Diceros bicornis minor: one gene and its partner. The protein of the gene in region 2 interacts with the protein of the main gene of each other region in a pairwise test. Links are inferred from orthologs where the notes say so. Each region holds a gene or a part of one and is shown on either strand. Other genes may lie near its edges.

Region 1 (16,429 bases), on a different chromosome or scaffold from region 2:
GTGGTGGTGGGGAGGATGGCGGGAGGAGTGGGGCATCAAGGAAGAAGTCTTCCATCTGCTCCAGCTCCTTCTTGAGGAGGGAGGCCATGGCTTCCAGGTCAGGTGGGGGTGGGGAAGGTGGGGGGAGGGCACCTGGGGGCAAGGGGGGCTCCAGAGGGAGAAGGGCTGTAAAGTCAACCCGCTCAGTCATCCAGTCAGAGAAGCCGTCACCTGGAGGAGTGCAGGGGGACATAAAGGTCCTTGAGTTCCTGGTCCTCCACCCAACCGGGTGCTCACTCATGTCAGCCTCATTCATTCCATTCACTGAGTAAACCCACCAACTAGCCAATCAGTCAACCAACCAATCAATGAATCATCAAACCAGCCAACCAACCAACCAATAAACCAGTCAAACATCTAACTAACCAATTAACCGAGTCAACCAATCAACCAACCAACCAACCAACTAAATGAATCAGTCAACCAACCAATCAACCTTTTAACCAATCAATCAGTGAACCAGTCAACCACCCAATGACCCAAACAACAAAACAATTAGCCATTACTTCAACCATTCCAACATCCTCTTTACTGATTACTCTACACCTGTGGTTTGTCTGATTTACTCTCTAGTTTATTCTTAAAAGGCAAACTAGATTGCACATACACAACACACCCCGTTTCCTCTTTAACTCATTAAGTATTGAAAACCCACTATGTACCAAGCATGTCGGACACATTAATGAATAAAATAATTCCTTCCTCAGGGCCTCTGCATATGCTGTTCCCTCCTCCTGAAAAGCTATTCCCTTGGATCTTTTCATGGCTCATTCCCTCCCATGCTTTAGGCCTCAGCCAAAACGCTACCTACTTGGAGAGGGTTTCCTGGCTACACACTATAAACTAGGTCCCCGTTGTCATTTTTCAGCTAAATGACTGTTTCCCACTTATGCCACATTATCATTGAATATGTCTCGTCTGTCTCCTCACTAGAGTGTGAACTCCAGGAGGACAGTGATCGTGTCAGTCTTGTTCCCATCTGTATCCCCAGCACCTGACATGTTATAGGTGCTCAATAAATATTGATGGATTGAATGAATAAATGAATGAAGGAATTCTTCCTCCTTCCCCCTGCCCCCCATACCCCAATTCACCCCACCTCCATTCTTTGCCTGCCCTTACCTGCCAGGGGCTCTCCCCCCCCTGGAAGCCCGCCCTCCAGGGCTCCCCCAAGGACCTCATAGGGGCCCAGGGGGGCAGGGGCCAGGGGGAGTTTCCCATAGTCTACGAGCCAGCCCAGCCCGCTAGCTGGGAGCAGGGCCCTGTCCAGCTCCAGCCCCAGGGTCGCCAGGAGTGACATGGCTGCAGCACAGGCGCTGGGCGCGGATGGCAACGAAGGAGGCTGCACCGGCAGCTGACAGGGGGCTCTGGAGGTTGCTCAGCTGGGCGAAGACAGGCACCAAGGCGGAAGTGGAGGACCTACATGTGGGAGGCAAAAGCGACTGGGGTCAGAAGCCAGCCTCACCCACTACGGAAGTCACAGGGAAACCAAGCCACACCCCCACCTCCCTGGGGTCCTCCCCCCTCCCCCACTCCTGCTTCCAACTGGGCTTGGGACGAGCCTAGCTCTCAGAATTCTAAATCTGCTCTTTCTTTCCCCAAATCTCTGAGGCCCACCCACTCCCAAGGGAATTCGCTTTAGGATCGACTTACTTTTCTTTAGAATCCCCAAGCCCGGATCCTTCCAATACAGAAACCTACAGGTCTCCCCGGGGAATTTCCTTAACTCCTCCCACCCACCTCATAATATTCCCCTTCGTAAAAAAACTCAATCCCAGGGGAATTTTCTTCCAGCCGCACCACCCCCTCTAAAATATTTCCTTTAGGCCCCATCGCCTCCCTCGAGTCCATCTCAAATCAGCTCCCAGGGGAATTTCCCCCTGCCCCGCCCCTTCATCCATGTGATCCACTCAAATCCCACTCTGCCCTTTTAACTTTGCGGTGACCTCCCCCGACCCTCTAAGTCCCGCCCCTCACTGTTTATCTTAGCCCCACCCCTCCCCGATGATTCCCCCGAGGCCCCACCTCTTTCTCGGATCGAAACCCCGCCCCTCAGCAAACGGTTCGCTGAGCCCCGCCCCTCTCACAATGGGTTCCCTCAAGCCCCACTCCTCCCGATGGCTGTGATCCTAGCTCCACCCCCTTTTTAACAGGTTGCCTCTAAGTCCCGCCTTCTACCCTGTCAATCTACACCAGCCCTCGCCCCAACAGGTGCCCGATGAAAGAGAAGCTATGCAGTGCGCCTGAGCAATGTGAAGCCGGGACGCAGGTCGTGGGAGCCGGGAGGCCGGGGAGGAACAGCTCTCCTCGCCACCACCCTTCCACTCCCGGCTCTCTAACCCAGGGCCAAAGCACATGCTTCGTCCTCCTGGGGGTCACTGCGCATGTGCGGCTGCTTACTGCCCGCCCTTCGGACGCAAATACGGACTCTGGTGGGCTGCTGCGCATGAGCAACCGCGAGAGGGCGGAATCGTCCTGGGGGGTAGTGCGCAGGCGCAACCTCACGCGGGCCGTCTTTAAACTCCAACACTCGCTGGAAGAACGCACCCTCCCCCCCTCGAGCCGAGTGCGCATGCTCCGCCTCGCGTCGACGGCCCGTTTTCCCTCTTCTGCGCCTGCGCGACCGTGATTCCTCGCTCTCGTCTCGCCATCCCCCAGGTCGCGTTGTGAGGGCCGCGAGCTTCCAAAGGGCGGGAAAGGCGGTTGGAGAGGGAGGGGCGAGCGTTACTCACTCCATGGCTGCAGAAAGGAGAGGCGACGGCGGCCTCGGCTGAAGAAAGAAGGCGGGAGCGGAGAGCGCAAGCGCGGTGAGCGCGGAGATGGGCCGTGAGGCACGGAGGGGTGGCGGCTACAGAGCCATGGCCGGGGCTACGCGGGCGGAGGCGGCGTCGGGGTAGCGTGAGGAGAGATCGTGATCTGAGGACGGGGACTGAGGCGGCGCCGGGGACTGGGAACAGATATACCGGGGGCGGCGCAGCACGGCCCGCTCGGATCCCTCCGCGCCCCGCCCCCGCGCGGCCCCAACCGGGGGGCGGGCCTGGCCTCCCCTCGGGATCCCGGGATCCGGCCCTCTCTTCCTTCCGACCCCGGGATCCGGCCCTTCTGCTTCCTCTGATCCGGGGATCCAGCCCCCTCTTCCTCCCGACCCCGGGAGTTCCGGCCTTCCCTTCCCCCCGACGTGGGGGTCCAGCCCCCTCCTCCCTGCGATTCCGGGAATTCGGCCCCTCCTCTTCCCCGAGACCCGCGTCGGTTCATTTCTTGTTTCCCTGCCCCGGTTCACGAATTTCCGGCCAGCCGCATGCTCGTCTCCTTATCCCCCAACTGCCGTCCCCCAACCCTTTTTGTGGTTCGAGGCTGGCGTGAGTCATAGACCGGCCAGGGTGGCCTTGGGCATATAACTTAAGTTCTCTGGCCTCATAGATGGGGAACCGTTCGCAAAATGAGGTGGGGTTGTTTGTGCGAATGAAATAAGCGGAGAGCCGTGGGACCCAGGGCCCGGCTCCCTGCAGGCCTGTTCGGTGTGTTTTATTATTAATACGAATTCTGGGGCTCGGTCTGACGCCTTGCTCTCCTCCTGCCAAGAGCCCCAGACTCCTGACCATCCGACACCTGCTAATAGGTCATTCTTTAGCAGTGTCGCCTTTACTCCTCAGTGTCCAGCCGTCCCCACCCTCCTCCACGCCAGATGATGGGCGGTCAGCCCCCTCTCGGTGCAGGGAATTCAGGCATCGTCGCCCTCGCTGTTTTCTCCATCCCGTGCCCACCTCCCCTCAGCGCTTATCCTCAGCACTTCTTTCGAGACACTTGGTTCATTCTTCTGCCCCTGCCCCTCACCCTGACTTCCTTTCAAAGAGTCCCCCGCCTCTGCTGCGCCCCACTGGATCCGTGTTCCAGCCCTGCCAAAAATGGGGAGACCTACACTTGCATTTGCTAAAAGAGGAGAGCTTCCTCGCCATCCCCTCCCTGTGGCTGGGCCCTCCACCAGCCCAAGTGGATGCGGGTCTTTCCTCTGCTGCAGAAACCCCTCCCTTTCCCACCCTGCCTCTGTCCACATCAGGATGTGACACCTGGAGTTCAGCCTTCATCACTTTTGTGTTGGTTATGAAACTGAATCAAGATCCAGAGAAGGTGGGGGAACCCCGATCTTGAGAGTTATCTGGGAATGAACATACGCAGGCTTTTGTTGCATGCAGCAAGTCCTTCTTGGGATCTGACCACTTTCCCTTAGACACTTATTGTCCACTCTGCTGGTATTTGAGCACTGGCGCTATAGGGGCTGCGTTATACCTAGTCGGTATAGAGGAGCAGTTAAGAGCACACTCTGGAACCAGGTTATTGCGTTCCATCCCTGACTGCACCGCACTTAGTAGCTCACTGGCAATGTCCTTTATTTCCCTGTGCCTCAGTTTCCATTAATAATACCAGAATGGAGTGTGGAGTTTGGTTAATAGAAACGTACCAATGTACGTGGCCATTATTATATTGTACCTATTTCTTAGTACTGTTAACGAGGATTAAATAAGTTAACCGAGGTCAAGCGTTTAGACTAGTGCCTGGCACACAGTAGGTGCTACCTAAGGGGGTATTATTATTATTATTATTAGTGAGGTGTGTGTTTTATCTCCTTTGCTAAGCAGTAAGTTCTTTAAAAAGTCTTCCACCTTTTAAGTGAGACTTAGGGGCCGACTTTCTGCTTCTCAGTATAGATGTTGAGTAACAGCAGGTGAGAGTAGGGTAGGCTCTTGGACAGACTGCTGGCAGTGAGGAGGCCCAGTCATCACCCAGAGTCTTCTCCTTCTGGAAAGACCTAGGTTATACACGTGGACTAGGTAAAGTATTTTTCTTTAAATCAACTTTTTATTTTGGAGTAATTTTAGATTTACAGAAAAGTTGCAAAGATAGTGGAGTTGCCATATACCCCTCACGCAGTTCCCCCGTTGTTGACACCTTAGATTACTTGGTTCATTTGTCACAACTAAGGAACAAACATCATACATTTCTATTAACTAAACTCCACACTCTGTTCTGGTTTCACTAGTTGCGCCCTAATGCCCTCTTTTTATTCCGGCGTCTGTCCACGATGCCATATTACATTTAGTCATCTGTCTTCTTAGCGTTCTCTGGGCTGCGGCAGGTTCTCAGATTTCCCTTGTCTTTCATGACCTTGACGGCTTTGAAGAGTGGTGGTTGGGTATTCTGTGGAATGTCCCCCAATTTGGTTTTGTCTCATAGACTGGGGTTATGGGTTTTTGAGAGGATGGCTAGGTAGGATATTTTTTAATAACTGGAAATGAGTGTTCGGTGTATGCTGACTGAGAAGACACTAGGGCAGGGACCCTGGTCCCCTGTCCCAGTCCCTTGTGCCTTTTTCTCTCTATAGGTGTTGGATCCCACCTAGTTCAGCCCTGGTGCCAACTGCCCCACTCAAGCACTTGACTCAGTCCTGCTGAGAGGGTGCCAGTTCGCACACTTAGCTCCCTAGCTCTTCCCAGCATGTTCTAATTTATGGGCGGTAGGTCATCAGTGGCTGTCTGTGAGACCAGGTCTCAGCACCCTGAGCCCTGTCCTGTGCCCACCCCTGACCCAGACCCGCAGTCCCTCTGGGACTCGGGTGCCTCGGCCTCCTGCTTCACAAAGTCTTCCAGGGTCCAGGGGCCCCAGCCCCTTCAGCTCCTGAGCTGGAGCTAGGAGCGTGGGTGGGGCTGCTGGGGACTCTTTTTCAGTGCGTAGGAGCCCGGCTCCGGGAGTGAGGTGGCCCTTGCAGGCAGGTTGCATCACCCTGGCTCCTTACTGGGGAGGGGGAGTGGGGGGATTCTCTGGGGGGCCCCAGCACACCTGGCAATGGTTCCTGGTTAGCAGAGCACTAGAGCCCTGGATCTGGGAGAGGTCCCAGCACAGCAAGGGAGGGGCAGAGGAGGGGGAGGGAGAGCAGCCACCTGTGCAGGACCCTGGGAATCTGAGACACATGCCCAGGAGAGGCCTGAGATTATAGGCGCCAACCCACTTGTCTTGCAGGGGGCAAGACAGAGGCCTCAAGAGGTGGAAGGCATTGAGCACAATCACACTGCTAGTGAGAGCCCAGGCCTCGACTATAGAGCACAGCTTCCAAGGCCCTACAAGCCCCAGGGAGAGCCTGTCTCCTCTCAGATCGACGGGGTCCCTGACCCCTGGCCCAGGGCATAGCCTGCTGGGAGGCCACCCAGCCTAGACCTTCACCTCGGGTCTGCTGCTCACAATTGCCAAATTCTATTGATTGTGACCTCCGCTGCCCTAGAGCAGGCCCTCCTCACCTGTACTATTGCAGCAACCCCTCACTGGTTTCCCAATCAAGGTGACAGCCTGGCATGATGGAAGAGGCACCGAGTTTGCATCAGATGGACCCAGGTTCTCATCCTGAGCCCGCATCACTCAGCCCTGGCCGGGGATGCAGACAAGGTCCTTCCTGTGCCTAAGCCTCGGCTGCTTTCTGCAAAGTGGGTCAGTGCGTGGACTCTGGAGCCAGCCTGCTGAGTTCACATCCCAACTCCACCACTTCGGTGACCCCTCGGCAAGTGGCATCTTCTCTCTCAGACTCGATTTCCGCATCCATGAAATGGGGTTAAGAGGACCCACCTCAGAGGGTTGTGGTGAGGATTAAATAGGTAAATGCATGTAAACTTCCTAGAACGGGGCCTGCCCAGTTGTGAACATTAGTTCTCTCTAAGGGTTGGGTGCCGGGAGAGTCTATGAAATGATGGAGGTCAGGCCCAACGTGTACCAGGAGCTCAGGGTCTATGTGTGTTTGTTTCTCTTCCTGTTCCCATTACACTTCGTTCTGCTTTCAGACAGATGTTTGTGTAAGTGACTGTTTCCGCGAGCACTTAGACGGCAAGGTCGGGACCCTCCTCGTTCCCAGAATCATTGCCCACAGCCCCCAGTCTTTTGCTGCTGTCTCAGTAGACATCACTTCATTTGTAAGTGAGTTGCTCATGCACAGAGGCTGGGGTTCAATACTGTGGTCTCTAAAGAGGCACAGGGGCAGGTATCTGGGTCATGCAGGCCAGGGGGACAGGTTGGAGGTACACGTCCTGGCAAACAAGGGCAGGAAGGCTAAGGCCAGCTCAGCTGGGGAAAGGGCAGTGCGGGGGCTGGACATGCAGAGCACAGGTCTGCCACGTGGCCCGGTGGCTCAGAGTCCTCCAGAGGCCCCCGCCCCTCCCCTTGCTCCTGCTCTTCTCCCTTGGCAGAAGCAGCTGCAGCTCTTAGAACCTAGTCAGGCCCTACCCTGCCGCACCAGCTCGGGCATCCTCGATGCTCATCTTCTGTATTAGCTGTTGTAACAAATTGCCGCAAACTGAGTGGCTTAAAGCAACACACATTTATTCCCTTTCGTTTCTGGAGACCGGAAAGTCTAAAATGGGTCTGCAGGGCTGGTTCCTTCTGGAGGCTCTAGGGGAGAATCTATTTCCTTGCTTTTTCTGGCTTCTAGAGGCTGCCTGCATTCCTTAGCTTGTGGCCCCGTCCTCACATCACTCCAGCATCTGCTTCCATCATCACATCTCCTATTTCCTCCTTTGATCTTCTTGCCCTCTCTCTTATAAAGGCCCTTGTGATGACATTAGGGCCTTCCCAGATAATCCAGGATAATGCCTCCATCGCAAGATCCTTAATGTAATCACATCTGCAAAGTCCCTTTTGCCACGTGAGGTTGCATATTCACAGGTTCTGGGGACTGGGACATGGACATCTTTGGGGGGGCCATTATCCAGCCTACCACACCTCCCCTCTCAGAGCCTCAGTTTCCTCATCTGGGAGATAAAGACTGGGGCTAGCCCTGGGGTGCCCCCTCCCTCACGGGCCCACAGGGACTGGCTATAGGAAAAGGACAGGGCAAACTGAAGGTAATTGACAACATAATGTCCTGGATCTTGGGATGCCATCACTTCCTGCTCTGTGGCCTCATCACTAAAGTGGGGACAGTAGCAGAACCCTCCTGAGAGGGCAGTGGTGAGAACCACAGAGATATATGTGAAAAGGCCTAGAGCAGTGCCTGGCTCAGCAAGTGAGCCATCCCCGCAGGCCCTGTCTCAGAGGTGGCTCTGCAAAGCCCCCGGACCACCGGAAAGACACAAGTGCAGCTCAGGGACGGCCCATCTGCCTGGCAGCAGTGCAGCCTGGTGATGCGGAGCTTCTGATTTTACAGGAGAAGTTGGAAATCTAGATTTTTCTGCAAGATTCAGGTTTTAAAAGGTTAGCGAATAATTCAGAGAAACCCCAACAAATCACGAATGTGGATAGGCTTAGGTCAGGGCCCTCCCTGACCTTCGTGTTCAGTGATTCCACTGCAGCCCCAAATCTGTAGCCCTCTGCCCGGAGCAGAGAACAAAAGGAACCCAGTGCTCCTCATCCTAGAGTCACTGGGAATTCGGGCCACACCCCTCCCTGCTGTACTGACCAAGACTGAAGAGGAGCAGGGTCTCGCTCAGACTTAGCCTCATGCCATGTGCAGTCTGGAGGGCAGTGTTTGTGGGGAGCAGGGAAGGAAGTCTCTAGAGAATCGTCAGTGAGGGTTGGGTGCCTGCTGGAGGGGTGCTGGCGTCTTATTACCCTGTCTGTTCCTTGTCAGCTGTCCGTGCCCCCAGCCAGAGGCCACCAGCTGGGGAGGTCGCCCGCCATGGGGGCCCAAGGGGCCTCTCAGTAAGGGGGGTGGTAGCGAGGACTTGTTATAGGAGCTGGGCAGGGTCCGGTGACTTTGGGGAAGGGTCAGGGAAGCGGGGCTTTGCTCTGGGTCGGATGCTGGCAGGAAGCAGGGGCAAGTCTGTGACTGGGTGTCTTTATCTTATCCAGAGGCGGGAGGAATGAATGGAGTTGATGCGCTGGTTAAGAAGCAGCCAGCAGCTCTGAGCCGGGAGGAGGATGTTTGGTCATTTTTGTGCTTTGGACAATGTTCGTGTTTTTGTCTGTGTTGAGATGCGACTCCGGAGTGGTCTTATTTTTGTCTCAGTCCATCACGGTCCGAGTGGCCTTGCCTGATATGGGTGTCCAGTGACACTGGTATGTCTAACAGGAGAGCCCCAGGGTCTGGCTGTCAGGGCTGCTTTCCTTTCTCACAGCTCATCGTACCAAGATGAGGGAAGACAGGTGGAGAGCAATGGCAGGGCTCTGGGGCGGGGCGGGGCAGCCTCAGCGTAGCCTGTGCCCCACCATGAGGTGGGCCACGGATGCCCAGTTCCCACAGGGTCGCTTGAGCACCGAGGAAACTAGCAGCTCGGAACCCAGCGGGCAGCCAGTCGTAGTGGAAGGTGAGGGGGCAAGAGAGAAGGATTGAAGCAGAGACAGGGAGCCACAGCAGGAAAGCCTCCCAGGTCCCCCAGGTGCCCCTCCAGAGACATGTTGGGACCGCCTTACGGAGAGCATCGAGGGTCACCAGAGCCCAGTTGGTTCAAGAGCCCCTTGCCCTCTCCTCCTGCCCCTCCTGCCCGCCCCCACCCAGAGCAGGAACAGATTCCTGAAGAGAGACAGGAAAGAGCAGCTGACACCCACTCTTCACTCCAGGCCGCCAGGAGGCCAGCCTGCAGCTGAGGGGAGGCGGACAGCACCGAATTAGATTCAAGAATAAAATCTAAACTAGTCTGGAAGGTGATGGAGTTGGCCCGGGATGTCATTAGAGAATGGGAAGAGGGTAGGGGACACAGTACATGTTGGCAGGGCTGAAAAAATGTCACGTTGGAGAGGCTCATGAGGCCCCAGCTCAGCTCTGGGGCCGGACAGCCTGGGTCAGTCTTAACTACCTGTGTGACTTTGGGCAAGTTACTTGATTTTTCTCAACTTCAGTTTGCTCATCTGTGAAATGGGAACGCTGATAGTGCCCACCTCATAGGGTTGTGAGTCCGTGCAGGTAAGGACTGGGAACAGGGCATGGCACATAATAAGTGCTAGAAACGTTAGTGTAGTGACTGGTATCCAGGGACAGGTAGGGGCTCTGGTTAGTTCTGATTCTCAGAATCAAAGCCACCCTGCCCCCACCTCTGGCAGCTTTCACCTGGTCCCCAGAGAAGCCATCTCCATGGCAACCGTCTCTGCAACAACCTGGCCTGGACCCTTCCCTCCTTCCCCCACTGACATCACTGCCTCTCCCCTGGGACGCTGGTGTTGATTAGCTGGTGTTGATTACGGGAGAGAGGCTGGGGAGGGAGCTCAGGTGTGTGCGGCTCTGACACACACACACCTGCTTTGCTCTTAGAGCTTCTTGGCCGTGGTGCTTCAGCCCCTCTCCAGGCGCACACACACACACACGCATGCACACACACACGCACACACCTGCTTTGCTCTTAGAGCTTCTTGGCCGTGGTGCTTCAGCCCCTCTCCAGGCGCACACACACACACACGCATGCACACACACACGCACACACCTGCTTTGCTCTTAGAGCTTCTTGGCCGTGGTGCTTCAGCCCCTCTCCACGCGCACACACACACACATGCATGCACACACACACGCACAGCCCTACCTGCTTTGCTCTTAGAGCCCCTTGGCCGTGATACTTCATCCCCTCTCCAGGTCTTGATATCTCAGTGTTGTATCCATGCCTAGCTGCATTTCCCATGAAGCCCCCTGATGGCCTCACAGCTGACTGAGCATTTTAACTCCAGTCTCGTCCCTAGCCCATTCTCAACCAGTTTTCCTTGTCCTCAGAGGAAAGCTTGGTCCTGTCTTTAGAAACCACTCTGCCCAGGGCCGGCCCGGTGGCTTAGCGGTTAAGTGCGCGCGCTCCAATACTGGCGGCCCGGGTTCGGATCCCAGGTGCGCACCAACGCACCGCGTCTCCGGCCATGCTGAGGCCGCGTCCCACATACAGCAACTAGAAGGATGTGCAACCAAGACATACAACTATCTACTGGGGCTTCGGGGAAGGAAAAATAAAGGAGGAGGATTGGCAATAGATGTTAGCTCAGAGCCGGTCTTCCTCAGCAAAAAAAAAGAGGAGGATTAGCATGGATGTTAGCTCAGGGCTGATCTCCCTCACAAAAAAAAAAAAGAAAGAAAAAGAAACCACTCTGCCCAGCCCCTGCCCACCCTCTCAACCTTTTCTCAGTATCCCGTGCTTGGTTGGTTTGTTGAATGGCTTTATTGAGATGCTGTAATTCACACCCATTTATTAAAGTGTACAATTCTGTGGTTTTTATTAGATTCACAGAGTTGTACACTCATCACCACAATCTAATTTTAGAACATTTTCGTCACTCCAAAAAGAAGTCCCATACCCATTAGCAGTCACTCTCCATTCCCCCATCCCCCAGCCCTAGGCAACCACTAATCTGTTTTCTGTCTCTCTAGATTTGCCTGTTCCGGACATTTTGTATGAATGGAATCATGCGTTAGGTGGTCCTTTGTGTCTGGTTTTAAGGGTTTGTCCATTTTGTGGCATATGTCGACACTTCATTCCTTAGGGCTGAATACTGTTCCATTGTATGCATGTACTACATTTTATCCATTCATCAGTTGATGGACTTTTGAGTTGCTTCTACTTTTTGGCAAATATGCATGTACAACTTTTGTGTTTTTTGTTTCTTTTTTTATTTTTTTGTGAGGAAGATCAGCCCTGAGCTAACATCTATTGCCAATCCTCCTCCTTTTTTTCTCTTTTTCTCCCCAAAGCCCCAGTAGATAGTTGTATGTCGTAGTTGCACATCCTGCTAGTTGCTGTATGTGGGACGCGGCCTCAGCATAGCCGGAGAGGCAGTGCGTCGGTGTGCGCCTGGATCCGAACCCGGGCCGCCAGCAGCGGAGCACATGCTCTTAACTGCTAAGCCACAGGGCCAGCCCCCTGGATGTACAAGTTTTGTGAGGACATTTGTTTTCATTTCTTCTGAGAGATACCTAGGAGTGGAATTGCTGGATTCTAGGGTAACTCTATGTTTTAACCTTTTGAGGAACTGCCAGACTGTTTCCAAAGTGGCTGCACCATTTTACATTCCCACTAGCCATGAACGAGCGGTCCAGTTTCTCCACATCCTTGCCAACACTTGATATTGCCCATCTTTTTTATTATTGCCATCCTAGGGGGTGTGCACTGGTATCTCGTGGTTTTGATTTGCATTTCCCGGTGGCTGATGATGCTGAGCATCTTTTCATGTGATTGTCCGCCATTTGTGTATCTTCTTTGGCGTCTTGTGTTTTTTGTGCGTGTGAGGAAGATCAGCCCTGAGCTAACATCTGCCCAGTCTCCTCTTTTTCCTGAGGAAGACTGGCCCTGGGCTAACATCCGTGCCTATCTTCCTCCACTTTGTATGAGACACCGCCACAGCGTGACTCACCAAGCAGTGCATCAGTGCGCGCCCGGGATCCGAACCCACGAACCCTGGGCTGCTGCAGTGGAGCGCGCGCACTTAACTGCTGCGCCTCCGGGCCGGCCCTGGCATCTTGTGTTTTAATACAGGTTTAACATTGTTCCCCAAAGCAGCAGGCCCTTGCCTGTCAGAGCTTTTGCCTGGGATGAGGTGTTAATCTACTCTCTTCCTACGCTGAGTAACTCCTCCACATCCCTCGAAACAAGCTTCAACATCCCCTCCTCTTTTAGAAAGGTTTCCAAGACCCTCCTCTCCCACATCTCCCAGGCAGAGTTAATCACCACTTCCCCTGGGCTTCCAGTAGGTTCTAACCAAAGCTCTTTCCCAGCATCCACCTTGTCGTCCTATAATTTCTCTCTTTGTCTGTTACCCTCAGTAAACTCTGAATTATTTCAGAGCAGGACCTTGTCTTATTCTTCCTGACTTTGACGTTGATGTTGACATTAGACAAGTTACTTAACTCGAAAAGGGAGATACTAGTGGTACCCTCATGGTGGGAGGGGTGAGAACTAAACAGGTTAGTACATGAAACAGTTGTACAGCTCAGGGAGCTGACATTCGAATGGGGAGACAGATAATAAACGAGATCCATCAGTTCAATATATTATATTTCAGATGGTGCTAAGTCCTAAGGATAGCCAGGGAAGACCTCATGAGCAGGTGACATTTTAACACAGACCTGCAGGAGGTAAGGGAGTGAGCCATAGGGACATCTCAGGGGAGAGCCTTGCAGGGACAGGGAACAGCAAGTGCAAAGGCCCTGAGGCAGGAGCGCTTTAGGCACTTCTGAAGAACAAGAGGAGGCTGGTGGCACTGGAGTGGGATGATGGAGGCAAAGAGTGGTGGGACATGAGGGCGCCTTTCGGCCATTGGGAATAATGCTGCTGTCAACATTTGTGTACAAGTTTTTGTTTGAGTACCTGTTTTCAATTCTGGTGGCTTTTCCTTCATCACATTTCAACAACACTCCGGGTTTTTGAGGTTGGTGGCCGTGCCAGATTGTTTTTGTTTGCCCAGCACAAGGCCTGTACTGTCTGAAGTCTCAGTGGATGTTTGTTGACTGAATGAATGAGGTATATTTGTGAGTTACCCAACACATGGTGGCAGAGTGAGTGCTGAGTGGTTAGGTCTTTTATCATTATTCTTTAATAAATGCAGTTGGTACATCAGATTGGCAGGACTTTCCTCCTCTTAGGTGCTGCCAGGCTGCAGGGCAGTGGTCGTCTCAGGCACTGCCACTTAGAGTAAAAACAGGTGTGGCAGGTTGCAGGGCGTTTGGTAGCCCCTAGTAAAACAGAAATGCAGGAGTCCACGGCCTGCAGTTCTACTTCTAGGGATCTGCCCTGGAAAAATGTCTGCGCCTGTGCCAAGAAAGCAGGACGGAGCATGCTTGTGGCAGTATTGTTTATGGTGAGGAAAAATTGGAAGCATCCTAAATGTCCACCAGTGGAGGCATGGATCAATAAAATGTGGTGTCGTCATACCATGCACTGATTGGCAGCGGCTAGAAGGAGTGAAAAGCACGTTGGGAAAAGGACAAGTTGTAGAGTGACACATAACAGTGTGATACCCTGTGTAGCAGGGAAAACACAGGAATAATAAACACATTTCCTCTGGCTATGAGCACACACGCAAATACATAGATAAAAGATACACTTCAGCTCCTTGTTTTGTTTTGTTTGGTGAGGAAGAGTGGCCCTGAGCTGACATCTCTTGCCAGTCTCCCTCTATTTTTGTATGTGGGACGCTGCCGCAGCATGGCTCGATGAGCAGTGCAGTAGGTCCGAACCTGCAAACCCCAGGCTGCCGAAGCAGAGCACGCGAACTTAACCACTACGCCAGCGGGCCGGCCCAACACTGCAGCTCTTAACTGGGGTGCCCTCACCGGGGTGGGGACCAGGATGGAGGACAGTGATCAAGGGAATCTTAGCTTTGTGTTCAAAACTATTTTAAAGAAAGGACTGATGGATGCATTGTGGAGTTAAAATTCAAATGTTAAAAATGCAGTTAGGTAGAGAAAAAAATCAATACAAGAGAAAGAAACAAAACATTCTTGGCAAAAAGAAGGGACCAGCACCAGAGTATTCCTCAGATCTCGTCCAGTCGCATTATTTTATATTTAGAGTGGTTGTTCTAGAATCTTCCTTAATATCTCCTCTTCAGGACCTCTGCCCCTTTCTGGCTGTGTGTATCAGGTTGTTTCCTGACTTCTTTCCATGAACGTCTTCCCTGATTCGTTTTCCCCATGGGGAGAATTGCTGTTTGTCCCATCACCTGAGCTCCCTCAGCGACAGTTCGGGCCTCGGGAGCGGGAAGGAGAGTGTAATTGCCAATTAGTCGTGAAGTGACTTTTTGGGGCAGAGTGTTTCAAGAGAAGAAAGGAAGGAGAGAGATGGCTGAGAAGCTGTGAATCCAAGAAGCATTTAGGTAGCAGCTCAAGGCAACTGTGAGGAGCCAGCATGTTGGTGCCTCTGCCACGTGGCTCCCCTCTGACGGCCTCCTTCCTCTGTCCAACGAGGGCAGTGAGCCTGCTGAAAATGACTCTGAGATCCAGTGAGAAGACACAGTGCAGAACAGCGTGTCTGGCATGACCGCGTGTGCACAAAGGGCGAGAGGGCAAACTGTGCATTTGCTTAAATGCACCACAAATCTCTGGAAAGAGGCACACGAAACCTAACAGCTTGTTTCCAGGGAAGAGAGCTGCTGGCTGGGGGACGGGGGAGGATGGAGACCATGGTGTTCCCTTTTGTACCTTTTGAACATAGAGGCACGTGAACAGCTACCTATTCACAAAAATAATTTTCATTTTCATTTTTAAAAAAATACCCACTAAGGGGCTGGCCCGGTGGCATAGTGGTTAAGTTTGCATGCTCTGCTTCAGCGGCCCGGGGTTCACGGGTTCAGATCTCAGGTGTGGACCTACACCACTCATCAAGCCATGCTGTGGCAGCTTCCCACATACAAAATGGAGGAGCTAACAGATGTTAGCTCAGGGCCAATCTTCCTTACCAAAAAAAAAAACCACCAATATGTCATTGGATAGGTTGAGAAATGGAACACGTGTGACAATGCCTTCTTGGCGGTTAGTATGCAGTGACATTTAGGGATCCCTTCACATGACTCAGCCTGGAAGCATGACAGGCAGTGGAGGCTTTCCATAGCCCTTCCCCGTGGTGAGCAGGCAGACAGACATGCCCTCTATTCGTCTGTCTCTTCAGGTTGGTTACACCTGGGAGGGTGAATGGCCTCGAGTGTGCCTGTCCTCCGGGAGAAGGAGCAGGACGGAGGAAATTAGGACCAGAATCCCAGGTGGCCTAAGGAGGTGAGAGAGGGCAGTTGAAACCAGGAGGGGTCTCTATCCCACCACCCTGTTGGGGACACCTGTACTGTGGAGGAGAGATGGCCTTGACGTGGAGGTGAGCACTGAGGGTTCCATGCTGCGGATTGGCTTAGAAAGGCAGCGCCGCCCGTCTGGGGCTGTGTGGGAGGCTGCCTCTCTCTGAGGCTCAGTTTCCTGCAACTGGGGTTGGCTGTCCCCACCAGGTGGGGTGGTTGTGTAAGTGCCAGACAGGGTAGCCCAGGCCACCACCAGCTCCCACCAGGGGGCTGCAAGAGTGGTGCCCCACCCCACCCCCGGCAACCTGGGTGAGTCTTTCAAAATGTAAGTCAGATCCTGACACCTGGAACCCTCCCGTGGCTTCATACAGCCCTCTGGTCAAGCCACATTGACTGCTGCCTGCCCGGGAGCCCGCGGAGCGCGCTCCTGCCTCGGCCTTTGCACCGCTGTCCGTTCAGCCTGGAACGGTGGAGACTGCCTAGGCTAAGGTCTGGTTAGCAAGCCGCTCGTTGCTTGTCAGTTTATTCCATTCTTTTTGTGTGTGTGTGTGTGAGGAAGATTGGCCCTGAGCTAACATCTGCCAATCCTCCTATTTTTGCTGAGGAAGACTGGCTCTGGGCTAACATCCGTGCCCATCTTCCTCCACTTTATATGGGACGCTGCCACAGCATGGCCTGAACAAGCGGTGTATCGGTTCGTGCCAGGATCCGAACCGGCAAAGCCCGG
Region 2 (16,392 bases):
TCCAGCCTCTCAAGCTCAGAGTGAATTAGGCTCCGGCTCTGCAGTCCCGTCTGGGTGGAAATCCCAGCTCTACTATTCATGTAGCCGCGGGGTCTTGGGCGCTACTTGGCCTCTCTGGGCCTCAGTTTCCTCACCTGCCGCGTGGGGACAATAATAACAGTGCCTCCCGCAGATTTGCAAGGATGCCGGCCACCGCAGACAGGGCAGCTCTGCTCTTCACCACCGTCAGCCGTTACGATTATCACCCAGGCTACGCTCCATCGCAGGGCGCTCCGATAGGGCGGAGTGACTTTTCCGGCGAACTAGGCGGCGGTGCTAGCCCAGGCTTCTCCACCTTTGGGGTAAGTTCCTTCGCCTTCCTGAACCTCAGTTTCCCACTAGGGCCCACTCTGGGGTGTGTCTGGGGGTGAGGTCTCTGCGGCCACACTCACCTCTCACAGTCGGTGAAGACGAAGCGACGCAGCTTGAGGTCTCGCACGACTAGCCCGTGCTGGTGACAGTGCGCCAGGGCGGCCGCCATCTGGCGGAAGAGCGCGGCGGCCTCGGGCTCCGGGAGGCGGCGGCGGCGGCGCACCAGGCTGTGCATGTCCCCGTGCGGCCGCGGGAAAAAGGCGTAGAGGTGGCGCGTGCCCGCCAGGACCTCGGCGGGCCGGGCCACGTGCGCGTGGGGGGGCAGCTGCGAGTAGGGCTCCAGCACCGTCAGGGCGTCGCAGACCGGGTACACCTGGGGGCGGAGCATGGCGTGAGCAGAGGTGGGGACCCGTGGAGCCACCCCCGGCTGGCCTTGGAAAGAGTCACAACCAACTCTTTAGAAGGATGATGAAATAGAGAATATTCTGGAAGGGGGCACCCATTTTAGAAAGTGTGGTCCAGAAGGGACTCTGGGGAAGTGACCTGAATGATTCAGAGATGCCCATGGGATAAGCTTTCCAGTTGGGGGGCACAGGCAGTGCAAAGGCCCTGCGGCAAGAAAGAGCTTGAGCTGCACTAGAAACCCAGCCAAATACCAGTACGGCTGGAATAGGGTGGGGGAGGGCAGAGGGGCCATGGTGAGGGTGGGGTCCTGGAGAAATGTGCTAGGGTCTTTAGGGACATTAGACAGAAACCTCACCATAGCCCTGAGAGGATGCTCAGAGGAGGAAGGTGAGTTGTTGCAAGCCATATGGCGGCAAAGCTGGTGTGCTCGCTTTGGCTCATCTGACTTTAAACCTTTTGCATGTTATTTTGTCTATGCCGCACAGAAAATAAAAATAAATAAAGCATAGACATATGTAATCCATGGGAAAAAAAGTGTAAGCATATGTCTAAAAAAAAAAAAACAGTTGTGGTGGCATGGAGGAAATAATCCAAAAACAGAGACTTTTTTTAAAGTTAGGGCAAGCGCATTACTGCCTCTGTGCATTTGCACTGGCTGTTCCTGCTGCCTGGACACGCACAGGGCTGGCTCCCTCAATTCATGCAGGTCACTGCTACAATGTCACCTCCTCAGAGAGGTCGTCCCGGCTGTCCCCAGCTAAGATCACCTGCCCCCACTACCCCACTTCCCCTCTCTCCCAGCTCCTAGCTTTTCCTCCGCAGCACTTACGATCACCTGACTTATATTTTACTTATTCACTTGTTTATTGTCCGTGTCCCCCGCTAGAATGTCAGCTTGATGAGAGCAGAATTTTGTCTGTTTTTGAACGACAGCGTGCTGCATGGCGCATACAGGTGCTCACTGAAGGTGTGTGGAATTAATGAATAAGGCGATAATCTACAAAGACACGATGTTGCTCCTTCTACGCTCTGACCAGAAAACCCTAGGCGATGTGGAGATGGCGGGTCAGCCCCTGCGGTTCACGCTGGTGTGGGGACCAGCGCACCCCAGCAGACTCCCCTAAATGTTGCTGAATAATGGGGGCCATGTGAAAGCGTGACGCTTCTTGTCCGAGCTGGCTTGGGTCATTCCTCTCAGCGTGGACCTCCCTCCCCAGTGGGAACAGAAAAGAATCTGCGATGCTGCAGGAAGGGGACCCAGAGTTCAGAGGTCCCTTAGAGCACCTGGGGTCAAGCACGCAGGGAGCCCAGGTGAAGCTGGTGGCTGGACGATGTGCCCAGATCTGTCCCTCTGCCTCCCCACCCCCACCCAGCAGGAGCTGGAGACAGCTGCTGCTGCTCCCAGGTGGAGGCTTAAGTCCTTCTGCCTCTCTGTGCACTCCCAAGGGGACCCAGCTGTCACTCCGCTGGGCCTCTGCATAGCTGTTTCCCCGGCCTGGACCTGCCTTCTCCCACTTCTCCCTGGCTAACTCCTGCTCAGCCTTTTCTGGCTCCCCCCTGAACTACAGTAGAGGCTTCTCCCCTGTGCTCTCAGGGCCCCTCAGCACCACCCCGTTTATCACACTATGGGGCCTACACTGTGAATTCCCCCAGGGCTGGGACTGTCTGGTTTACCCCTGTCTCAGCCCAGCCCCAGCCTGGAGCTTGACAGAGAGCTGGGGGCTCACGGGCTGCTTCCCCAGTAAACACAGGAATAAATTAATATAAAGACCCCCCAGTCCCTGGCAATCCTCTGCAACCAAGACCCTTCTCAGGCCCCCTGTGACGCTGGTGGAGAGTGGCCCCCAGGGCAGGTACCTTGCAGGTGTACTCGGCTCCTGTGGGGCGGTGCAGGGCCCGGTAGGCCTGGCCGCCCTCCTCAGGCTCCAGGAGGACATAGGGCCCAAGCCGGGAGGCGGTGGTCACAGCAGGGGCACGGAGTGGAGCAGGGGGTGGGCTCAGGGGCAGTGGGCAGGGGGGCAGCCTGGGCGGGGGCCCACTTCGAGCTTGTTTCCGGGTGGGAGCCTCAGTGTCTAGGTTGTCGTCCAACTCCAACCGCTTCTTCCTGGAGGGGGCAGCTGCAGGAGCAGCCAGAGGGGTGGCTCGCATCTAGAAAGAAGGAGAGGAAGGCACTCAAGTGAGGCTGTTTGGCGGCCCTCTCTTCCCCTGCTGGTGGGAGGGTACATTGGCCCAGCCAATTACAGAGGATGATTTGTAGTGTGTATTAGACTGACAAGTGCACATAGCCCTAATTGGGTGTCCCACTTCTGGGAATTTATCTTCCAACTAAAATGCTCACCAAAAAATTAAATATGTGAAAGGCTGCTCATCAGAGCCTTGTGTCTAATAGCAAAAGGCAGGAAACACTCCCAAGTGTCCAGCAGTGGGAGGCTGGTTAAATACCATGGTACAGCCATACCGTGGAATACTATACAGCTCTGAAAAAGGACTGGGAAGCTCTCTATACACTGATGTAACGATGCAAGTACAAGGTTATTCCTGCAGCCCATGTGATAGAAACAATTTAACGTCCATCCTTAGGGGGCTGGTTAAATAAATTGTATTTCATCCATACAGGGAACAATTGTAGCCATTCAAAAGATTGAGGAAACTCTTTATGTGCTGATTGGAAAGATCTCCAAAGTGAACTGTTAAGTGAAAACAGAAAAAAAGGTAAAGCGGAGAGAGAGACTTAGTGGTTGTGACAGGGAGGAAGAAAGACTTTGCATTGTATCTGTTGAGTGTCATAGCGCAGGAGGCTATGAGCCGTGACGGGGAGGGAGGGAAGGAGGGAGTAAGATGATGAGGGTGCTGCATGAATGCGGTGGGCCTGAATGCGCATGTGCATGTGCGCTCTGGAACGGACATACTGTCCAGGGGAAAGCAGGCTGCTGAACAGCACACCCAAGGTGACCTCATTTATGCAAAGACCCCCCAGCATATAAAATGATGTAGCTCCATGTTTGCGTGTATGTCGGTGTGTGAATGCACAGGGAAAGGTCTGGAAGGACCCAGACTAAACTGGAGGCCCCCAGGGGAGGAAGGGATTTGGTAGGGGGGCAAGGGAATTTTCAATTTCAGTATTGTAAGGTAAAGATCCTGCGTTCACTTACTGCTTGAGTATTTCAGATCAGAGTGTATTTCTTTTTTTTCAAATGTGAATTTTATCTACTATTGCCTGACGGCTCAAGAGCTCCCGGAATCACAGGGACCACAGGCGAAGTCAGTCCCCCAGCCAGCTCAGCTTCCCCCTCATGTGAGAGGTGAGGCGGGGAGGGGAGGGTCTGTCAAAGGCCCCCAAATTCATTCATTCAGCTGTGGGGGAAGCCACCCCCCGTGCAGCTGTGTCACCGTGTGTGGTGGGTGGAGGAGAGGGCAATGGCATGTCTGGGCGGAAAAGTTCTCTCCAGGACCCATCTGCCCACCCATTCAGGCTCCAAATGAGGGACACGGAGCCCAGGGAAGAGGAGTCAGAGGGAGATGGACTTCAGCCCAGGTGAGACCTTCCCAACAGTCCCAGGCAGGATTAACAGGGAAACATGACTCAGTCAGTTCTCACACTGAGGCCCACCTCTCCAATCACGCTGCTCCCAAATGTCTGGGCTGGCCTGGGAGGAAGGGAGGGAATCCCCACCCCCACCCCCACCCCCACCCCGAGTGAAAGGCCATAATCCCATCTTGGTAAGAATGCAATCAGGGGTGGCTGCAGTCAGATATTCCTGGGTTCTAATCCTGGCTCAGATCCTTCCTGGCTGGGTAGTCCTGGGCAAGCTCTTCAACCTCCCTGAGCCTCAGTTCCCTCATCTGTAAAGTGGGAACAGGATGCAAAGCCCATAGGATTTTTCTGATGATGAAATGAAAACACAAATAAACTAGAGTGGCCTTTTGTAGGGTAGGTGTCAGAAAATGGTCACTACTGTTGGTCCGTTACTATTATTATTATTATTCGTAGCTGAAGATGCTAAAGTGCTACCCCTGAAAGGCTCAGGAATCTCCCTGGGGTGAGGCTAGGATGACACTCTTTACCTCCAGGGCTGTTCTGAGAGTCACACAGGATGACACCTGGCTGTGTGGATGCTTTGTGCCCTGGCAGCACGAGACTCCCTGGAGGGGCCCTCTGGGGGCCACACCAGCACTCAGGCTGCTTGGTCCCATCCATGCCCAGAGGCTGCTGGGTCTGAGATAAGCTCACTGGACAGGTGAGGTAACTGAGGCTGTAGATGAGCAAGGCCACACTGCAGGACTAGAATCTCTGCTGTAGGATGGAGGCAGCCCCCAATATCTACCTCTTGCTGTTCCCTGACACCTCCGGGGAATGAGAGTGAGCCATACCAAACACACACACAACCCAGGGCAGACAGGTGTACTCACGCCCCTCAAAAAGACACTTTGTCCAAGCCAGCCAGCCCGCGCCGCACATCCAGGGCAGAGAGGGACATATCATTACGTGACACACACCTCGCCCTCCAGGGCAAGTGCACAGGCACACACACACAGCTCTCCCCACTATCACACTCAGGACTGCAGGATTGATACCAACGAGGCCATACGCACAGTCTGACACGCCCCCCCAACCCCGCGGAAGGCAGTTAGCACCCTCCCGGCGCCTTCCGCAGCCAGGCCCCTCCGGTGGGAGCTGAAGCGGCGGCCGCGGGTGTCCCGGGCAGAAGGTTCGGCGGAAACCGAGAGGGGTGGGGGCAGTGAGGCAAAGGGAAGGAGGCTGGGCCCCAGGCTGGGAGAAGGGGCGGACCTGGGCCCTCGCCCCCACACGCCCGAGTCTGCAGGTACAATGCACACCATTGGCAGGAACAAATACACGCGCGCACAATACAACGTGCAAACCCGAAGCCGCACCGCCCTCGGGCCCCGCATCCCGCGCTGCATCCTCGCTCCCACTCGCCGTGCACCCCCCCACCTCCCTCCCCGCCCCGCCCCCTCCGGCACCCCAGCTCTTCCCGGCGGTGTCCCCGCACAGCCAACACCTGCCACCAGGTGCCCAACCCTCCCCACAGCTCGCACAGTCCACGAGGACACAGACCCCCGAGACCATCCCCGCCCAGACCCCACAGGGTCACGTGGACACCCGCAGATCCCCACAGGCACGCCCCCACAGTGACACAGACCCTACACGCAGTCCCCCAATGCCCCACACAGGCGCCCCCAGACCTCCCGCACCAAACGACACAACTCCCCCGCCTCACACTCACACAAAACACAGACAACCGCACACCCCTCTCGGGGCGACACCCGGACACCTCAGTCCCCGGCCCCCTCTGCCCCCGGGACACAGCTGCCACTCCCCACGGGAGCGCACCCTCGGCCCAGCCCGAGTCGGCCACACTCGGGCGACCCCACGCCCTGCCGGGCCGTGTCACCTGAGACGCGACGGCAACACTCAGCCCAGGTCGCGCCCTGGACTGCGGGGTTTGTTAAAAGTTGTGTGTGCACGCGCGTGTGTGTAACACGCAGCAACCCGCAGCCGCCCAGAGGCTCCCGGTCCCCCTCCGCCCATCTCCGTCCTCTCTCCTGTCCCCACCGGGTACCTTGCTCCCGCGTGCGCGGGGGTCCTGCCGCCGCTCAAGCTCAGAGTCGCCGGGGCCCCCGGGTGGCCCGGGGTCGGTCCGGTGTGCCGAGCTCGGGATCCCGACGGAGCGCTGTCCCGGCCCCAGCAGCCGGACGCGTGCGGCGCCGCCGGCGCTTCCGCTGCGAGTGTCTCGGGGACGCCAGGCGCCGGGCTCCTGCTCCGGCCCGGGTGATGTAAACCTGAGCTAATCAGCCGCCTCCGGATGCCCTCAGGCCGGGGATTGCACCATCCGCCGCGCCCCGCCCCTCGGGGTCACCGCCGAGCGCGCCCCGCCCCGGCCCCTCCCTTTCGCTCCGCCCCGGCACCCCTCGCCTCTCCCGCCCTCTAGGGGTGTCTGGTCTCCACTCCCTCCCCTCCTGCCCCGTGCCCGAAGTTTGAGCGAGGACACCTGCCTCCGACTCTCCCTATCACCTTGGGAAAAGCATTTTGCTTTTCTGAGCCTCAGTTTCCCCATCTGTGAAATGGCAAGCAAGAACATCCTTCCCTCTCAGGATGGTTCCAAGGAGAAAGAGCAAACCGTGACAGTTTCCTGGGTGCTTCCCCGTTTATAAAGCGCTTTGGGGTCCTGCCCGGTGGCACAGCGGGTAAGTGCACGCGCTCCGATTCAGCGGCACTGGCTTCTCAGGTTCGGAACCGGGCGTGCACAGGCGCACTGCTTGTCAAGCCATGCTGGGACAGTGTCTCACATAAAGTAGAGAAAGATGGGCACAGATGTTAGCTCAGAGCCAGTCTTCCTCAACAAAAAACAGGAGGATTGGCATTGGATGTTAGCTCAGGGCTGATCTTCCTCACACACAGACACACACACACAAATATATATATATATAAAGCACTTTGCCACCATTGCTTTATTAAACCTTTAGGAGAACCCCAGGGGGGCAGGAAGCTCCATCTCCCTATTCTACTCAGGGGGAGCGTGAAGCTCCGCTCTGGGAAAGCAGCCCTGGAGTTTTGCAAAGACCACAGATTTAGGAGCCGCCTCCAGGCTCAAAAGAACCAGTGGGGTGCCCTGGAGAGGCCTGAGGTTGGGTGGGCTTCACAGCATTCATTTGACAGAGGCAGTGCAGCCTAGTGGTTAAGAGCAAACACCCTAGATCCAGCTTGCCTAAGAGTGCACCCCACCACTGCCCAGACCCACTGTGCTACCTCAGGAAAGATACTGAAAACCCTGCTTCAGTTTCCTCCTCCGTAAAACGGGCTTATAATAGTACTCACTTCACGGGGTTGTTGCTTGGATTAAATAAATTAATACGTGTAAAATACTTAGAATGTGTGGCATGTTGTAGGTGCTCAATAAATAGAGTGGGGACAACGGGGGCTCAGAGAGGGGAAGGTGCCCGTTACAGGGCTCACACTCCAGACCTGGGAGGCCTTGGTGGCCCTTGCTGTTTGATGGAACATCCCTGTGCAGCCCCAAGGGGCCAGCACCTTTCTTGGAAATCCCTTTTAGGTCTTGATATCTGAATTCACCAGTGTCAAAAAATAACTCCTTGGGGCAGAAGTTGGATGGGAGGTGGGTGGAGTTCTGTTTCCCTGATTCCAGCACTCCAGGGACCAGCTCCCCTGTGTCTCAGAACCCTCCGAGCACAGCAGGGGGTTGTGGCACCTCACTTAACCCTGGAGACTCCCCTGCCGGGAGGGATGGGTGGACTCATTTTCTACACCAGGAGGTCCCGCAGCCGTCCGGGGCAAAAGAAGGCAGGCATTCTTATCTTCTGAGCACCTCGATGGAGCCAGCACTGTCTGGGTTTGCTCCCACATTCCTAACTTTGTTTCATGCTGTGTCAGACCCTGTTCTAAATGCTGGGGACTCAGCCGTGACAAGTCTGACCTATTCCTGCCCTCAGGGATCTTATAAATCAGTGGGGAGACAGACCATTATCAAGAAAATAAAATTAATAGCCGAGATCATTTAAAATAGGTTATAAATGTTATGTATTTTCTTGAATGAACAGGATAGATTTGTTCTCCATCAGATATGACTGAGCGGTGGCTATTTTCAGTAGGAGTCATCAGGAAGGTGATGTTTAAACTAAGATCTTAAGGAAGCGAAGGGGTGAGGAGTGCAAAGATGTGAGGGGAGACAGAGAAAAAGTAAGTGCAAAGGCCCTGAGGTACTTAAGGAACTGTGAGATGGGCACTGTCACCTCCGTTCTATAGATGAGTCCAGGTGAGGGACTTACCAAGACCACCGAGCTCGTTGTATGAAGCAGATTTGAGATTTGAACCTGGGGCAGCTAACTCCAGTGCCCACACTGTCCAGGGACAGATCACAATCTTTGCAACCCGAAGGCAGCCTCCACCCGGACTTGTGGATGGTCACTGGAACCGCACCCTGGGCCTGGACTCCAGGTTTGAGGGCCTTGTCACAGTTGGGGGTGTCAAATCCCAATTCTCTAGACCAGCACTTTCCAATAGAACATAACATGAGCCAAGTATGTTTTCATTTTTCTAGTCAGGTATTGCAGGAGAATAAAAAGAAGCAGGTGGAATTAATATTAATAAATATTAAATATTCTATTTAATCCAATAACATAGCATATTATCATTTCAACAGATAAGATAATAAAAATTATTAATGAGATAATCTAAAATTTTTTTCATACCAATGTCTTCAAAATCTGGTGTGTATTTCATACTTGGTTTGGACACAAATCAGCATGGAAGCTAAATTGTCAGTGGTGAAAGTGAAATGTTGTCCTCCCAAAACAATTAAATTGGGTTTAAAGGAAAAAATATGCTACCTGTTTTAAAATTAAAATTCAGTAAGATGAAAAATTTGGTTCCTCAGTCACACCAGCCACATTTTAAACGCTCAGGAGCCACGTGTAGCAAATGGCTATGGTATTGAGTAGCACACCCCTAGACCAAGAATTCCAGGGAGTATAGCAAAGAAGTGAAGAGCGTGGGGTCTGCAGTATAGATGCCACAGAGCCTGGAGCCTCAGTTTCTGCATCTATGAAATGGATTGATTATACCTTCTTTGCATTGTAGTCCTAAGGATTAAATGCACTGAGGCAGTTTTCTCATCTGTGAAACGGGGAAAATAATAGTGCCTACTTCATCGGTTTGTTATGAGGATTAAATGACTTAATATCTGTGAAGTGCCTGGCATATAAATGCTATATAAGCATTTGTTAAAAGAAGAGAAAATAAATGGTGATCAACGCCCCAAAATTAAATGCAAAAATGTGCACTTTCCTGGATGGAGAGTTGGGCTTTCGTCAATTCCCTTCTCTGCGGGCTCAGAACGTCCCTCCACCCAGATGCCTGAGCCACGCGGGCTGCATTTCTATTCGCTGTAGTTCCGCTGACCCCCAGCGCTGGGAGGAGGAACTCGGCGCGGGGCGGGGAGGCTGCGCTCCAAGGTGGGGGTGGGAGTCCGTGGACCGCGATGATAGGAGCCGCGCCCGCCTCCCTCCTCCACACCCCGTCGCTGGTGCCTGCCTCAAGCCTGAAATGCCACCGCTGGTGTTCTTAAAACGTTTCAGCTTTTTTTTTCTATGTCTGTCGCCAGTCCTCCTCCTTTTGTTGAGGAAGATTGGCCCTGGGCTAACATCCGTGCCCAATTTCCTCTACTTTATATGGGACTCCCCCACAACATGGCTTGACAAGCAGGGCATCCCTGCGCACGGGGGATGCGGACTGGCGTACCCTGGGCGGTCACAGCCCCGCGTGCGCACCTCACAGCTGTGCCACCAGGCCGGCCCCAAAACCTTCCGCTTGGTAAGTTGTGCCCACGAAAGCGAAAAGATGCTTTGGAAAGAATTTTGGTTGGATTCAGGTCTGGCTGAAGCCATTGACCCCGTGAGATGGTGGGCAAGTCATCTTCCCTCTTGGGGCCTTAGTTTCTTGTCTGTAAAATAGGAAGAAAGAGTTGGATTAGGTCGGTGTTTTCTAAAATATGACATGTATAGCAATGGTGGGGTCTCAAGACTCTGAATCATTGAATCATTTGGTGGTACATGCATTTCCTTTTGATTTTCTTCCTGTTCCTCCAGTTACTGGGGGGAAAAGTCTCATTTTACAGCCTCTCTGTCTTTAACAACTCGCTTGGTAAGGAAGAGAGAGCAGGGCTCAGTCCAGAGCCTTCAGCAAGAAACAGGATTTTGCTAGGCTTGAAGAATCTTATTTTGCTTTCCTTGTATTTAATTTGATGGTGACTTTCTCCTTACCGGAAATGATAGTGGCTTTCCATTTGAGGTCAGTGACTTAAATGTTCCCTTTTAAATGAATTTACCTAAGTTTTAAAAAATAAGCTGATTGAAAGAAAAACATCAGGAAACTAATAATACAGATGCGTAAATGGATTTGAGCCAATCAATTTGGGAAAAGCAGTGAGTGATTCAAGAGTTGCAGCTCTAGGCCTGTGCTCCTCTTGGGGAGCCCTCATTAGGAGACCAGACACCCCCCCTTCTCTGGGGTTTCCCAGGGGCTTTGCAGAAATCCCTCATCATCCGAATGTGGCTGAGGCTGGGCCTCAGGAAAGGCAGGAAGCCCTGTGCGTGGGCACAGCATCTTCCCAGAGGTGGCCCAGTGGCAGCCACGGCCCTGCCAGGTGACCCAGGTCTGCCCTGTGGGCCTGGGTTTTCTTTAGGAAGAATGTGATTCCTGTGCTTGAGGATGGAGCATGGCCCTGTGTGGGTGCTTCCTTACATCACCTCACTGCATCCTCAAACCTCCCAGGGAGTTGCTGTTTTCATCCCTGGAGACAGATGAGGAAACTGGGCTCAGAGAGGTGACATCACTGGCCTAAGGATGAGGAGGGTAGTGTGATTAGGAGCCTGTCTATCTGGCTTAAAGCCCAGGTGGTCTTTGTCCACAGCCTTACATAACCTCTTTGGCCAGTACTAGTTATATGACACTGGGCAAGTCACTTAGCTGCTCTGAGACCCAGAGCCTCATCTATGAAATGGAATTGATAGTAGCATCCTCCTGATAGGGTTATTGAACTGCTTCTTGTTACCGGGAACTGTTATTGGATTAAATGGAGGGTTAAATGAGTTAATACAGGTAAGGTGCTTAGAAGAGTTCGTGGCACACAGTAAGCACTTGATGATAAGCGGCAATATTATGTCTACGGAGCCCAGGCTGCTGCCTCCCCTGCACCCCAACACACACCACTTGAGAGCTGAGGGTGGAGGGAGAGGTGGGGACACACCTCCTGAGCATCCCCCGTGTGGCAGGCCTGGGCTGTGTCCTCCGTCTGCTTTCTCCTGTAATCCTGACCACAGCCCTGTGAGCTAAGGATGAACTTATGCCCTTTCTACAAGTGAGAAAACCAGGTGTCAGAGAGGAGAAGTAACCTGCCCAGGATCACACAGCAAGTCCAGGGGTTTGAACCCAGGTCTGTGTAGTTCCAAAGCCCGTGTCCTTCCGCTATTTCAGGAGCCTCAAGGAGATTGGCTGAAAGCTCTGGGGAAGTCCTGTGCCCCCCTCAAGGGTGAGGGGTCCTCTCCCCAACCTGCGGTGGGAGGAGCTGGATACCGCAGGAGGAAGGCAGGTTTCTGGTTCTGACCTTGCCTTTGACCTTGGGCAGCCCCAGTCCCTCTCCCGGCTCAGCCACAAAATTACTGCTTCATGTGTGTAAGGATGGGGCTCTCTGAACTTCCAGGGATCCTGCTCTGTCCCCTACCTTCCAGCTGAGGGGAGGAGGGAGCCCAGATCCACCCCTCCCAGTACTGGAGCTGCCACTGAGTTGCTGAGTCGTCTGATCCCTGCCCTGCCTGCCTTCCTTCCTGCCCGCCCCCTGCGGTTCTGAAGCCATCAGCACCAGGGAAGGAAAGGGATGCTGTGTTCCATCCAGGCCACTGTCCAGCCCTTCCCTTTCTGAGAAAAGCTTGTGAGATGGGGGGTGGGGGGGGCACTTCGAGGTGTTCAGCCAGCAGCCGGTTGCATCAGAAAAGCCTTGCGCAAGGCGCCCTCCTGGGTCAGGCGTGGAGTCCTGCCCCATAGCCCCTACCCCCATCCCAGCCGGAGCCCCTGGGGTGCTAGAGTAAGGACTGTTAGGCCTTGTGGGGGACACTCAACCAGGCCTGGCCCTCGGGAGTGACCTGGGGAGGGCGAGAGCATGGAGGGGAGTGTTTGGATGATGGCACTTTAGGCTGGAAGGTGCTCCTCAAGGAGTCCAGAGCGAACTCCCCCACTCAGTCCCTCCCTGGACACTGACTGAGCCCTGACCCTTGACTCTGGTCATAGACTGAGCCCTAGTCCCTGACTTTGGACTCTGACTGAACTCTAACCTGAAACCTTGGCCATAGCCTGAGCCCTGATCACTGCCCCTAGCCAGGGCTAAACCCTGACCCTGGCACCAAACTGAGTGCTGACTCGGTTCCTGACTGGGCACCCACCTTTTCCCATCCTGACCCCTGGCCTGAATTCCAATTCTGGCTCCTGACTGAGTTATAGTCCCGCAGACAGACTTAGCTCTAATCTGTTACCCCTGACCCCAGTCCCCAGATACACCCAGCTCTAGCCCCAGGCCTGAGTGTCTTGAGACACTCTTAAGAATCAAGAGAGCTGTGTCAGGCACAAGCATCAGGAGCTTGGCATCTGCTGGCCTCCCTCCTGGGCCTCTTACCCACCCAGGCTGAGGATGGCCCAGGGGCTGGGTTGAGCTGGGGGCCCCCATGGAGCTGTCCCCTGACTAGCATGAGACTGTGACTCAGCAGGGTGGGGGCTGGAGGTAGAGTCAGCAGGGTCATTGAGGTTGGGCGGGGGCAGGTGCTGAGTCAGCGCAGGGAGAGAGAGGACAGTGTCTCTGAGGTCAGAGCTGAGGGGGTGGGGGTGGGAGGCTCCAGGTCTAAAAATGGATGGTACATGTGGCCGGCCGGGACCGTTAAGGTAAAGCAGCCCCGTCCGAGTCCTATCCACCTCCATCTGCCCATTTATTGCCCATTTTTCCATCACTCATCTATATTATTCTCTCTCAGAGCATCCTGTTCTTTTCCTTCATAGCACGTATTATAATTTGGAATTATATATGTATTTGTTTTTTCATTTATTTAGTGTCTGTCTCCCCCACTAAACTGTAAGCTCCTTCAGGGCAGGCAGCTGCCAGTTTGGCTCCCAGTGTATCTCCAGGTCCTGGTACAGTGCCTGGCACACAGTAAGTGTTCAGTAAATAGTAGATGAATGGATTAAATCTTTCCACCTATTTATTCGTGCCTCATCCATCCATTTACCATTCACCTGTAATCCATTCCCCACCACCGATGCATTCAACTTTCTCCTACCATCTCTCCATTCTTCCATCTACCCTCCACTCAACCGTTATCCACCCATCCATCCATCCATCCATCCACCCACCCACCCACCTATACATCTTTCCAGCATCGAACCATATATACGCTCATTCAACAAATACTTATGGAGTACTTCCTAATTGCCAAGCACTATTCTAATGGCTGGAGATACTGCCATGAAAATAACAGACAAAAAACAGTGCTTACATCCCAGCAGAAAGAAAATATGCAAGAAGTAATTAACATAATAAATACTTAAATTATAGGTCATGTTAGAGAGTATTAGAGGAAAAGAGTAGAAACATAGAAGAGTGGGTGAAGAGGATCAGGAGGGGGCATGGAGGCAGGTGGTGGGTAGGGTGGTCCGGCGGATGCCATGAGACTCTCTGGAGGGCAAATTGTTCAGGCAGGGGGAATGGCTTATGCAAGGCTGAGGGGACACTTGACGGGTGTGCTGATGAAGGAGGTCAGCGTGGCTGGAGTGGAGCAAGCGAGAGGGAGGCGGTAATAGATGAGGTCAGAGAGGTGATGGGGGCAGACCATCTCGAGCTTTGTAGGCCTTTGAAAGGACTCTGGGGAGAAGGGAGCAGATGTCGCAATAATTCTGCTGAGAAACGCCGGTGGCTCAGAGCAGGGCAGCAGCAGTGCAGGTGGTGAGATGTGATTGGATTCTGGGTATGTTAAAGGTAGAACCAACAGGATTGCTAATGGTTCAGATGTGGACTGTGAGGGAAAGGGAGGTGTCAAAGATGCTGCCAAGGTTTCTTGGCCTGAACAACTCCAAGTATGGAGCTGCCATCAGATGAGATGGGCAAGGTGTCTGGAGGCAGCCCCAAGGTTCAGCTTTGGCTGTGTTGAGTCTGAGATGTCTTTCAGACCTCCTAGAGGAGACGTCGGGTAGGCAGTGGATGTATGCGCTGGAGTTCAGGGGCGAGGTCTGGGCTGAAGATATAGATCTAGAGTCATGGGCATGAGACTGGATGAGAGCACCAAGGACCAAGTGCTGGACCACTCCAGCAGGAAGGGTAGGGAGAAGCAAATGAGGGACCGATGAGGTAGGAGGACGGCTAGGAGAGCATGGACACCTGGAGGCCAAGTGAAGAGAGCAGATGTATCAGGGAGCAGGGAGTGGTTAACGGTGTCAGAAGCCGTCGGTCAGTCAAGAAGATGAAGACTGAGAATTGAGCATTGGATTTAGCACCTTGGTGACCTTGACAAGAGCAGTTTCAATGGATGCAAGGTAGGGGGGGCAAGTAGAAGTATAATTGGAATGGATTTAAGAGAGAAGAGGAATTAGAGACTGTGAGTATAGACAATTTTTTCAAAGACCTTTGCTGCAAAGGGGAGCAAAAAAAGTGGGGGGTAGCTGTGGGGAGGGCTGTAGGATCAGGTGAAGACTATTGTCTTAAAGATCCATCCATCTTCCATTCATCCACAAATCTATTTGACCACCATCTACCATTTACCTGTCCGCCCACCAGTCACCACGCATGTGCAAACATCCACTCCTCATCCTCGCCCGTAAGCTAAGAAGGGTGTCCTGAGCTCCCACAGGGACCAACTCCCATGCCAGGCACTGGGGCTGGGGGTGGAGGGCAGGGGGTGGAGGGCCTAGAATCTGGCACATAGTAGATACTAGGTTTAGAGGGATTAAATGAATTAAAAAGCAAGAAGGCGTGGTGCCTCCCCTCCAGGTGCCTGGTCTAGCAGGAGGATGCAGAAAGCCAGAGCTGGGAGCATTGTCTGGGATCGTCTAATACAAACCAGGGAGGGGATGCCTTGCCTGAGGTCACACGATGGGTCAGCGATGGAACCAAGATTCATACTCAGGCCTCCTGTCTTGGCAGACAGGTGTTTTCTCTTCCAGGATGTTCTGTCCAGGGGGCAGAATTTAGCTGGGGGCAGGGAGTGTGTGGGGATATGGCACTTTCAAGAGGACAGATTTTAAAATATTTTTATTTGTTTATATTTCAGCTCAAAATTTAAAAGGTACAGGGAATAATACTTGAAAAGTCTCCCTCCCATTCCTGTCTCCAGCACCCTAGTTCCTCTTTCTGGAGGCAACCAATTTTCTTGTGTTTCCTTCAAGACGTAAGTTATGACTATTTTCCCCTTTTCACACAGACGGGAGCATACACACACAGTCCTTCAGATTGCTTGCTTTCTTTCTATTTACGAATTCATCTTGGGGATTATTCCATACCAGTTCAGAAAGACCTTCCTGATTTTTTTTACAGCTTTGTAGTATTCCATTGTAGGATGTACTGGTTTATTGAGACCACCCCTTGTCAATGAACATTTCATTATTTCCGGTCTTTTGCAATAACCAACAATGCTGCAGTATTCACACATGGGGGAGCAGAGAGAATCTCCAAGATAATTTCTTTCTTTTTTTGTTTTTGTGAGGAAGATGAGCCCTGAGTGAACATCTGCCAATCCTCCTCTTTTTGCTGAGGAAGACTGGCTCTGGGCTAACATCTGTGTCCATCTTCCTCTACTTTATATGGGACGCAGCCACAGCATGGCTTGACAAGCAGTGTGTCGGTGCGCACCTGGGATCCGAACCTGCGAACCCCGGACCGCTGCAGTGGAGCTCGCGCACTTAACTTCTGCGCCACCGGGCTGGCCCCCAAGATGATTTCTTAGAAGCAGAATTGCTAAGCCAAAAGTTTGTGCATTTGCACTTTTTGTGTGTGTGTGAGGAAGATTAGCTCTGAGCTAACATCTGTTTCCAATCCTCCTCTTTTTGCTGAGGAAGACTGGCCCTGG

What was found.
Region 1: the proteins of TRIB3 (region 2) and ATF5 interact in a two-hybrid assay, tested with the Homo sapiens proteins (2 studies listed by BioGRID and IntAct). The link is inferred for Diceros bicornis minor from reciprocal best matches to the Homo sapiens genes TRIB3 and ATF5.

Annotation. Positions count from the first base shown.
Region 1 is NC_080773.1:25,272,514-25,288,942, reverse strand, and holds the start of ATF5 (cyclic AMP-dependent transcription factor ATF-5), read right to left. Parts: upstream 3,001-16,429; 5' UTR 2,772-3,000; exon of another isoform or gene 2,622-2,771; intron 1,459-2,621; 5' UTR 1,340-1,458; coding exon 1,162-1,339; intron 211-1,161; coding exon 1-210.
Region 2 is NC_080758.1:28,571,963-28,588,354, reverse strand, and holds the start of TRIB3 (tribbles homolog 3), read right to left. Parts: upstream 6,515-16,392; 5' UTR 6,339-6,514; intron 2,905-6,338; coding exon 2,614-2,904; intron 725-2,613; coding exon 432-724; intron 1-431. UniProt on the Homo sapiens protein: Inactive protein kinase which acts as a regulator of the integrated stress response (ISR), a process for adaptation to various stress. Inhibits the transcriptional activity of DDIT3/CHOP and is involved in DDIT3/CHOP-dependent cell death during ER stress.